Arabidopsis thaliana: one gene and its partner. The protein of the gene in region 2 interacts with the protein of the main gene of each other region in a pairwise test. Each region holds a gene or a part of one and is shown on either strand. Other genes may lie near its edges.

Evidence for each region. The genes of interacting proteins can lie anywhere in the genome.
Region 1: the proteins of TCP24 (region 2) and AS2 interact in a two-hybrid assay, tested with the Arabidopsis thaliana proteins (one study listed by BioGRID).

Annotation. Positions count from the first base shown.
Region 1 is NC_003070.9:24,396,537-24,401,512, reverse strand, and holds AS2 (Lateral organ boundaries (LOB) domain family protein), read right to left. Parts: upstream 3,371-4,976; 5' UTR 3,000-3,370; exon of another isoform or gene 2,199-2,999; intron 2,196-2,198; exon of another isoform or gene 1,801-2,195; 5' UTR 1,684-1,800; intron 1,418-1,683; 5' UTR 1,368-1,417; coding exon 768-1,367; 3' UTR 527-767; downstream 1-526. UniProt on the Arabidopsis thaliana protein: Negative regulator of cell proliferation in the adaxial side of leaves. Regulates the formation of a symmetric lamina and the establishment of venation.
Region 2 is NC_003070.9:10,626,677-10,632,191, forward strand, and holds TCP24 (TEOSINTE BRANCHED 1, cycloidea, and PCF family 24), read right to left. Parts: upstream 3,955-5,515; 5' UTR 3,896-3,954; intron 3,891-3,895; exon of another isoform or gene 3,705-3,890; 5' UTR 3,534-3,704; intron 3,135-3,533; 5' UTR 3,053-3,134; coding exon 2,078-3,052; 3' UTR 2,039-2,077; intron 756-2,038; 3' UTR 509-755; downstream 1-508. UniProt on the Arabidopsis thaliana protein: Plays a pivotal role in the control of morphogenesis of shoot organs by negatively regulating the expression of boundary-specific genes such as CUC genes, probably through the induction of miRNA (e.g. miR164).

The DNA.
Region 1 (4,976 bases), about 14 Mb from region 2:
TAAATTAGTTGATGTGACAATTAGTATTTACAACAACAATAAATAGAGTCATCATAAATAGATGAAGGAGACTTTTTAATTAGAGAGAAAGCCTAGAAAGAGCTAGTGGGTATAATTCGCCCGGAGATAAGATGTTTCATGTTCATGTTATATTCCGTTAAGCCTCTTCTTACATCAAATCTTATCCTTGACGCTGACAGTGTTCCACATCAAACCTCTTTTCTTGCAAATATCATTTATATAAATATGTCAATTTTAAATGTTTTTAATAGTTTTCCTTTATTATTTAATTTTAAAATTTGAACTACAAAAAAAATAAAAGGAAAACACTATAATACATTTATCTACATGGTATACACTATATTTCATATTCATAATTTTTACTAATAATGTTTTTTAAATACTTAAGAAGTCTAACATTAACCATTAAAATCACTCAATGATTAACTGAATTTAGGTCTATATTCTTGCTGGAGGTACATATGCGGATCAATAGACTCGACATATTTGGAAATAATATACTCTATAATGCAAGTATGTGATATCAATTAAGAGAGCAAGTCCATAAAATTTGAAAGAAATACAAAAGTGACTATCATAATATATCTAAGTAATAATAATAATAAAAACCGAAATTAATGTCATTAAGAGAGACGTACCATACGTTTAAAATATTTTGGTTTTCCACATCAAATATTTTCTTAAAATTATAGTTTTCTCATCACCAAGCGATCGACGAAGATGAACACCACCAAAACCCTAAAATCTCAAGACGGATCAACAGTACGGCGACCATCATCTCCAGCGGCGGCTCTCGGCTGCTGAAACTGAGTGATCTGTCCAATGGCAAGAATCCCACCGTCGTAGTTGTTACCGGCCGGAACATCCAAGCCACCAAACATTTGTTCTCTAGGAAAAAACTGGTGGTGGTGATAGTGGTCTCTCACGGCGGTGGCTGTTCCATCTGCTGCTCCGGCGAGTAAGTTGATGCCAAGACTCTGATGAGTGGCGGCGAGGATACCGAGGCTTTGGTACTTAGAGAGCTCAGATTTAGCACAGCTGAGATCTATCTGAAGCTGACGAAGCTGATGTTGGAGGAGAGAGATGACGCCGACGCAGCCGTAGACAGGGTCACGGAGGCGCATGTCGGCTTCATAGGCCAAAGAGTTCACTGCGTCTTCACGTTGTGAAGGGTGAAGCTCGTTGAGGAGCTTTGTCACGTTACTTGCTCCAAACACTTTGTGAACGTTTGCGAATTTTTGTGGCTGGTCCGGTGGGAAATAGGGCGCGAATACACATTCCGGTTGACATTTTCGCCGGAGGAATTTGCAAGCGGCGCATGGTGAGTTTGTTGAAGAAGATGCCATTTTAATGACTTGAAAATGGAGTTTTTCAATTTTTTCTCTTTTCCCTCTCCCTACACAAAGCCGCCATTGAAAATTGAGAGAAATAAGGGTTTTTGAATTTAGTTTTTGGAGGTAGAAGGTATAAGGAAACAAAAAAAGATATTATGAAATCAATTGTGATTTTGGAGATATTACATTATCTGTTTTTGTAATCAAATATGAAATTAAGTGAGAAAATAAAGAAAGAAATAATGTAGAGAAGTTGCTCAATCTTTATTGTTGTCAATTAAAAAAAAAAAAAAGTTGTTCAATCTCTATAGAATAAGAAAGCTTTTACCTGCGAGTAAATTAAAGAAGCCTTTCTTTGAATAATGGCTTCTGTTGCTCAGAGGGGAAATAAAAGAAGATCCTCTCTGCTTTCTTTAAGCTGCTATTTGGGGTTGCATACAAAAAGCTGTAAAATAAGAGAAACTTTGCAATTAGTAGTATTAAAGATATTTGGTGAGCTATATATGCACATACACTACACACACACATAAGTGTATATGTATACTTATATATACTGATCCAACCTTCTTGTCAACTGTTGAAAGCAAATAGAGGAAAAAATGAGTAACATGAAGGTGCTTTTCGAAAGTCAAACATAAAGGTATGCATCCAAATATATAATATATGCTTGGGAGATAAAAGATCATTTCAGACCTAGAGATATGTGTAGCTATATGATATAGAGGAACTTGTAGCTATATGATTGCTAGTCAAATTTTGGTAACTAGACCTAAGAGTCTAGAGACAACCTGAGAGATTTAAAATCATTATAAAAACAAATTAAAAAGAGATGGAAATTTGTACCGTGTAGTTGGAATGCGTATGGATGGATTAACGAAATATAGGGAACAAAACAGATGGGATCAATGGTGTTCTTTGTGTTGCTTATAGGTAGGTATGAGAGAGGGAAGAAGAAGAGAGAAGAGAAGGAAGAAGATGTAATTAATTACTAAAAAGCAAAAGATTGGATCTCGTGAAGAAGAAGAGACTTTTGGGTTTTGAGGCTCTCGATGGGCAAAGCTCATCTTGTGCTTAAATTTCCTATTATATTAGTATTTTATAAGAAAATGAGCTAATAAATATGATAAGACTAGTACTAATTAATGTTATTTATTTTTAATATATATACTTAACTAAATAAATAACTATAGAGTATACCTTCAATAGTAATAGGATTTGGTACTAGAGGGAATTGATTTCCATGTGAAGAAGTTGCGAGTTTCTAAGGAGAAGAAGGGATATTGGGATGAACCCTTGGACCCTAGCATAGACTCTAACAACAATAATAACAATAAATGTATAGTTATTAGTATTAAATTTCAAAATAAAAAAGTATCTAGAAAGAAAAAAAAGGAAATAAATGTGAAAAGGAGAGATGGGAAATGAGAGATGGGGTCTGACTCTGACTCTCCTGATGGATCTTGGGATGAAGAATTTTGCTCTTTTTATTCTTATTCTTTTTGTCTAGGGATTTACATACAGTAACCAAGCATTTTGTTATTACTATTATTATACTCTCTACTAGTAATTCGCATTAATATTATATGATACGGTTTGACAAAAGCTAAAATATAAATACAGTCGAAAAGTTGATAATGAAGTTACCGTCCTCAAAGTTTCTTCGGTCAAACCCATTTTTTCATGTTTCTTTATACCAAAATCCATAAGAATCTACTGCCACTTTCTTTCTTCTCTTCTCTCTCTTTCTCTAATTACAATATATAATATTATATTAGGATCATGCAAGTGTCTTTATTTTTGACTCGCTAGTTTTACGCAAAGTAAGAAAGAAAAAAAATAGAAAAGAAAATAAGTGAAAGAAAAGAGGAAGGCATAGAAAGATGATGAGTTTAGGATCAGTACTCCCTAAGGTGTAGGGAGATAGAAAGAGAAAATCGCCCAGATGCAGAGGCTAAGGAAACGGAGAGAAAGAACAACTTTTATGGTGTGTCGATATATAGAGATAGAGAGAGAGTGAGTGATCACGGACTCTGTCTTTCTTCTCTATATATATCTTCATACTTTCCTCTACGGGAAAATTAGGAGATATACCATGAAACTTGTTTATATAATGATACCTACTTTGTTTTTGGAGTTTAAAAGATAACCCATGATTAGTAACCCTATGAGATTAATGTTACTGGGACATTAGTAATTTTTAAGATGAGGTTATAGTATTTTTTGTTTATGCATTTTTAGTTTGAATTTCCAAATGTGAAGGGAATAGAAAAACATTAATGGAAGTTTTGTATCGAACTGTTGAGAAAGGGGTTAGAGACAGTGGCACCGTTTCTTAGATGCTTTAGGTTTTTAGACATTTTGGTGTTAATAATTGAAGTTACATTCTCAAGACACAAGACTTTGTATATAGTTCTGCATTTTGTTGTATATCTTAAAAATCCTCGAAAATGTTATTATCAGAAATGGATACTTGTTTTTAGTTGGTTTCATAAAGTGTGCCATTTTTGTATAACAACAATACAACCATAATTCAAGTTCATTTTTACTAGTAACTACAGTACTTTTTTTTATGAATCTGAAACCTCAACCAACAGAGCCAAATTCAACCAATACAACAACTACAATAAATGTGTACATTTACCTTATGTACTAGCAGAAATATTCTAAAACTTTGGGTTAAGCGATTGTCAAGGTTTTAAACTCTCTTTTTTCACTACTAGTTCTCCTTTCTTGGTAACAAATGTCAAGTTAAGCAAATTTAAACACTCGATTAAGTAATCAGAACCGAAATTTAGTTGGTCTCTACGATTAGGTCATCACTTTTTACGTACGACCTAACCTAACGAAGAAGCGTGCAAAGAGAAAAAAGAATGGTTATCATGATCATATAACATTTAAAACATTAGTCAATTTGGAGAGAGAACAAGAATGGGAAATGAATAGAAGCAAGTGGGTCGTGGTTGCATATTGCATTGTTGTAATTACTGTTGGAGCAGAGTCTGCAACACTATTTACTCGTACCCATTTTCAAACGACAACCATTCCTTTTATTTATATATTTATTCATTACTTTTGAAATAAAACTATTCATGTCTTCATGTTCTTTGTCTTCTTCCTTCGTTTATAACAATGGGTCCAAAAATCATAGAATTCACACCATATGGATGGTTACACTCCTTCTCTCCAATTAATATTCATAATAAGTATGTTTGGCTGATATCGTTTTCATATTTTTCCATTATTATATATACATTGCGTCTTCTTCTAAAACTAGTTTGGATTTAAATTACAATGTTTTCCACATTTCGGGCCCTACTTACAAGCTTTTTAGTATATAAGTAATAAGTTTACGATTAAGTAAAATCATCTCCAATTTTGAAAATGTTACCTGAACAATCAAGTATAGAAAGTAAGACTAAAATAGTAAAACCAAATACTTCTAAGAATTGTTACACTAGAATAGTTACACTATAACAGTTAATGGAGCTATCCACTTTTGACTAGTCTTGCGGATATATAAACATCTTTATTCAGATAACTCATGGTGACATAAAAAGATTAAAAAAGTTTATTTGATAAACTAAGTATTTGAAACAAAACATTATTTTAACACTTTTAACA
Region 2 (5,515 bases):
AATCCACATATGTTGGAGAATGAAGGAAAGAGAACAGAGAGTTCACAAATGTCCTGAAGCCAAAAACCGCAAATCTCTCGACTTTTTTTGAGACATACTGCTTCGCCAGTCATGAGGCCTGCGTCGAATGAATCTGCAGGCATGGAGGATGCCGAAGGGAGGTTCTCTGAAACCGAAGAAGAACGCCATTGTACATACACTCTTGTAAAAGAAGTCTGCGAGTGAGGAAGAACATGTGTGTGATCTGTGTTAAAAAGAGGCACATATGAAGGATGTGAATCGTCGTAACACGTAAGGGATTATGTTACAAAAGAGTCTGTAATAATATGTATAAGCTTTATTTCGACACTTTGATGTTCTGTTCTTGATACTTGGATACTCTGTTCTTGAAGCTAACTACTTTAGACATTGATCTTCCTTTTTATCCCCTCTCTAATTTGATATATGCTCTTGTATTACTCATACTGCCCCAATTGTAACATAGAAGCTTAAAAATGCTACATAACATGCAGCCAACAGAATGAGGATGACCTGAAAACATTGGTCCGAGTTTCGGACAAAGTTTATGACAATGAACATGAACACATATAGAGACATATATATGATTCATTACATAACACATGTTTCTCATCAAACAAAAACAATTCCTCGCGGTCTGAACATACAATCAACCTGGCTTATGATTGCAATGGAGGATTCATATACATGCTCAGGGCTGCACAAACATCGTCTTCCCACAAATTACACTTCCACTCCTGCATATATTCCAAGAAACATTTTCATATATCAACCATATATCTTGATGAAAGTATGAGCCACGACCAAGTTGTTCAAACCCATTATCAAGAAATCGAAGTGTGGAAGTAATGTATAACAACCACTGGAGTTTAATCATCTTCCTTCACACAATAATACATTATGAACTATAAAAACTCATTTAGCCTTACAATTCCTCATTACTAGAAACAAATCCAACCTTTACAAATCAGTGCTATGTTGATACCAAAGTCTATATTATTGTTATTAAAGAAGTTCCTGTAGTTTAGTGCCCATAGTATCAAACCAAAAAGTAAGAAATTTAAGAAATGAATCAATCAACCAAGCTCCACTTAGTTTATGTATCAAAACAACATCAATTCAGATTTCAGGTAAAAGAAAACATATGAATCACTCAAAATGTGATGTGAAAGAGATCTAAAAATGTGAGTGCTCCGAATTAAAGGGAAAGAGCTCATGACAACAATGAAGAGATGGGATAATTAGAGTCCGACACATAGCATGTGGTGCCACTTCAGGAGGACAATGTTTTAAAACAATTTTGCCAGGCAAAAAACACTCAACTTCCCATCTTTTTCTCTTAAATAAAATATTTATCTATTAAGGACAAAACTTTCTTCATAGCAAAGTCTTTTGTCAAATGTTGATTCTTTGATGCCAATTATTAAATATTAACTAACTTCTTTCTTATCCAAAACAGTTCATCACCTCATTACATTTTCCATATTAAAATAAATTGCTATAAAGATTTCCTAAACCAAGAACTTGCAATACTAATATATATATATAACTAATTCAATGGAGTCAAAAGGTTTAGGTGAATTACTGTATCATGTGAATGAATAAATACATCAAAATGGGACACAAATTTAATGAAATGACCTACCCTTAGAGAAAATAAGTAAATGATCACAAATTGGAACAAGGTGATGCTGAGGAAGAAGGAAACCCAACATAGAACACATGAGGAGACAAAAACAGACGATGAAGCCCTCTTTTCAAATTCATCCACATGTCATTGATTATATAATCCTAAAGTCATTATTACTTCGAGACACACAAAAATGTAATGAAATTATGAAACCAACAAAATATGACTCACTGCCACGCCCCAATAAACCATCTTTCTTTTGTGAAATCAAGAAACCAAAATTTATAACAAATCAAACAACATGGTACTATCACTACATTTAACTAATCCATAAACCATTTTTCTAAAAACTGAAGAATTGAGATACTAAAAAGATAGAAAAAGACTAACCAAGATTGGCGAGAGATGAAAGGAAGCATTTTGTTTTTACTATCTCCTTTCCTTTGCCTTGTCATCAGAGCTCCGGTTTCCTTCGCCGTAATAAAGATATAGCCGACCATCAAAAGTCTCCGGAAGCTGGTGGTTATGGTGGTCAAGAGGTGGAGGTGTAGCCATGAAAAAGGAAATGCTTTGACTATCCATTGGAGAAGAGGAAGAAGAAGACGAAGAAATCGATGACCTTTGAGTAATGTTGTTGTTGTTATTCAGAAAGAGAGATTGTGAATTGGACTGAAGGGTCCCCCTACTACTGTAACCACCATTAATGGCAGAAGAAGAAGAAGAGATTCCAAAGTTGTAATCAGGTACAAAGGAGAATGGGTGATTCATTGGCTCTTGAGAGGAAGAGTTTGGTATTTGCAGCTGAACCGGGTTAAAGCAATCAGAACCACCGGTCCAATTCCGGTTACTCGGTTGTTGGTCAAAACCACCAGTGAGAAGCTGAGTGAATGAGCTATGAGCATTCTGCAAATCTTTATCTCTGTCTTTAGCTGTTCTTTCTCTAGCTCTCTCTCTTGCTTTCCCACGAATCTCTGTTCTTGATAACGACAACAGCGAACTCTCAGATGTTCCACTACTACAAGCAGATTTGGTCTGATTCTGATTCTGATCAAGATGATCAAAATTTGTGTTAAGCAAAGGAAGATCAGTGATTGAATCAGAAGCTGCATTGATTAACCATTCAACAGCTTTACTTGGCTGATCAAATCCAAGACGATCTTGAAGATCATAGAACTGGATTGCTGTAGCAACTGAGAGACGTATTCTTCGATCTCTTAAACCTTTTGATGTTAACACTTTGCTATGTCTATCTTTGCCACCAGAAGCTCGTGAAACCCTAATGATACGAGACGATGGATTGTTCCAATTCCTCATTAGTCCAGTGTTGTCCTCTGAGAATCTTTGTAGCTTTCTGCTTTGTTGTTCTTGATGTTTTTGTAACTCAATGTCTTCGTCAACCTCCATTGTAACGCTACTCTCATACTTTATCAGAGCTATGATAATTAAGTAAAAAGCCTGAGTATGTTGCAGTGATAAACTTTTGAATCTGCAAAAATTAAAGTAAGAAGAAATTAAAGTCACTGCTCAAAGGCTAAAAATAATAAAAATTTGTAGATCTGCCAAATCTATTCATGTTCATAGACCTATAGCTTAAGAGCCTTTTTCAGAAACCCTAAATTAATTATATAAAACCTATGAAACCTATAGGAATTTATTAAAGATTATGAGCTTTGGTGAAAATAATAAATACCCAGAAATTAAAGGAGAGATTTTTAAGTGAAGAAGATGAACAAGACTAATGATTTTGTTCTTGCTAGAAGCTTTGCCCTAAATTACATGGCAGTTTGCAAAATAAGAATCTTGATACATTAAATAAAGCAGAGATTTTAAAATATAAATAAAGGGTTTGCCTCAAAAATCACCAACAAGCTAAGAGAAAACTCACTTTGGATTACAGGTGTCAACTGTCTAAGCTCAGTGTAGAACAACAATGGCGGCGATAAGTGAAAAACAAATTTAATTTTCTTCAGATTCTTGTCATGAGCTTCTTATCTCTTCCTTCTCATGCTTAGATCTCGTCATTATAAGCATTAGAGAAGTGTTAAGATCCACAGATCTGCAATAATAGTTATATCAAAATAGTCACACAAATATAAGTTATAACATAAAAAAAACATTCGTTTTTGAGTAGTGTTTTAGGACGTTTAGATAAAGAGTATTTTCCCAGGAAAATCAGCCGAGAAAGTGAAAGAAAATTAGCAGAAAATGGGAAATGGGGAGAGAGGCTAGAGATATGAGTTTTATTACCTGTTAGAGAAAAATATCAAACAGTTGCCTTCGGACAAGGGAAGACAAGTGCACTGTTTGGACTATTTTGTACTTTCCTTGTTCTGTTCTTTTCTCTCTCTTTTACCCTTCTTTCTTTCTCCTTTTTCAATTCTGCCACTAAACTATTAGAATATCAATATTTGCCCTTTTATTTTCTTTTTCGATCAATTTGCCCTCTATTAATCGAATTATACTGAAGTATAATGTATGTTTTAATCATATAAATAAGGTTCATGACACTACATCTGATAAGACAATATAACTAGGAATAAGCATACATCCTTGATGCAAATATAGCCTATATTGTTTTAATTTACATTTTCAAGAAACATCTAACTTACATAATGTTTCATGCTATGGTGAAGAAAAGACACTCTCGAGGTGACAAAGTGGACACATGGGCTTCAAAGGCAGAAGCTTCACTTCTTGCATGCGATAAAATATATGGGGTTCTTGGCCAAATTCAGTAACCTTAATCATACAATGAATATTGGTCATGACACAAATTGTATAACTTCTTTGTTGGGCATATGCGGGAGTCCGATTTAGTCAGTACACTATGAGTTAACCGTGGCAAAAGATGCACGCTTTTACTCGGCCTACGCCAACCATGATATTTTTGTTTGCTTAGATATGGTTGAGGTTTTAGTACAAAACTTAACCGAAATAGGAAAAAAGAAACATCATGAATTAAAACATGTTGCCATCATGGGTAATGACCTATTTGGATTTAATGTAAGATAGGCCAAACATATGACTCTCAAATAAAAGTAAAGTAATTAAGAATATTAATTTTTTCTTTTGTAACAAACAAGCTTTGAGCTTTAGAACCACTTTTTGATTGTATTTTCAAAGCCTAAACAATTTAATTTCTTCCACGTAAAGACTCAAATTTGGGGAAAAATACTCAACCTTCCTTCCAAGGAAATCTTTGAAACTAAGTGAACTATCAATACTTGGTATGTAAAGTAAGAACATGATTCTAGTAAGAGTAATTATTAAATAATTTTTGAAAACTAAATAATGTTTCACAATAAGACCTGGACGATTATCCCTAACCTCGGTAGCTCAGTAAGCAAATTATTGTCAACTTGGGAACTTCTTTACACTTCCGACCAATAACGACTTTCTAATTAAGACTATTTTCTTGATAGGGAAACAATGTCAAAATTCGTTTTTGTATACTGTATAAAGCAAAGTTTAACAAATTTATAGATCTAATGTTATGTATTAGTTGTAGAAAGATAAAAATAGTAACAAAAATATTAAAATAGTACATGTCAAAGAAAATTATATACAAATTTACATGGGTTTTGTAAATTGAGTTCCATCCAGATGCAGTGAGTGAAAATAAAGCAAATATTTGCAAATAGCATACTAGTATGTCGTCACTCGTACGTCAGTCATCACATAATGTTTCAACCCATATATTATTCCAAAATATGAATCATCTTACGTACTTTTTTTTCTCCGACTCATGTTATAGTATATCAAAAAAGTTTAACTCATCTCACACGATATGTCGATACAAACCCACTTTGGGCTAACCAAATACATTCCATTTTTAGGGATATGTTGCGTTCATATATTATACTGTAT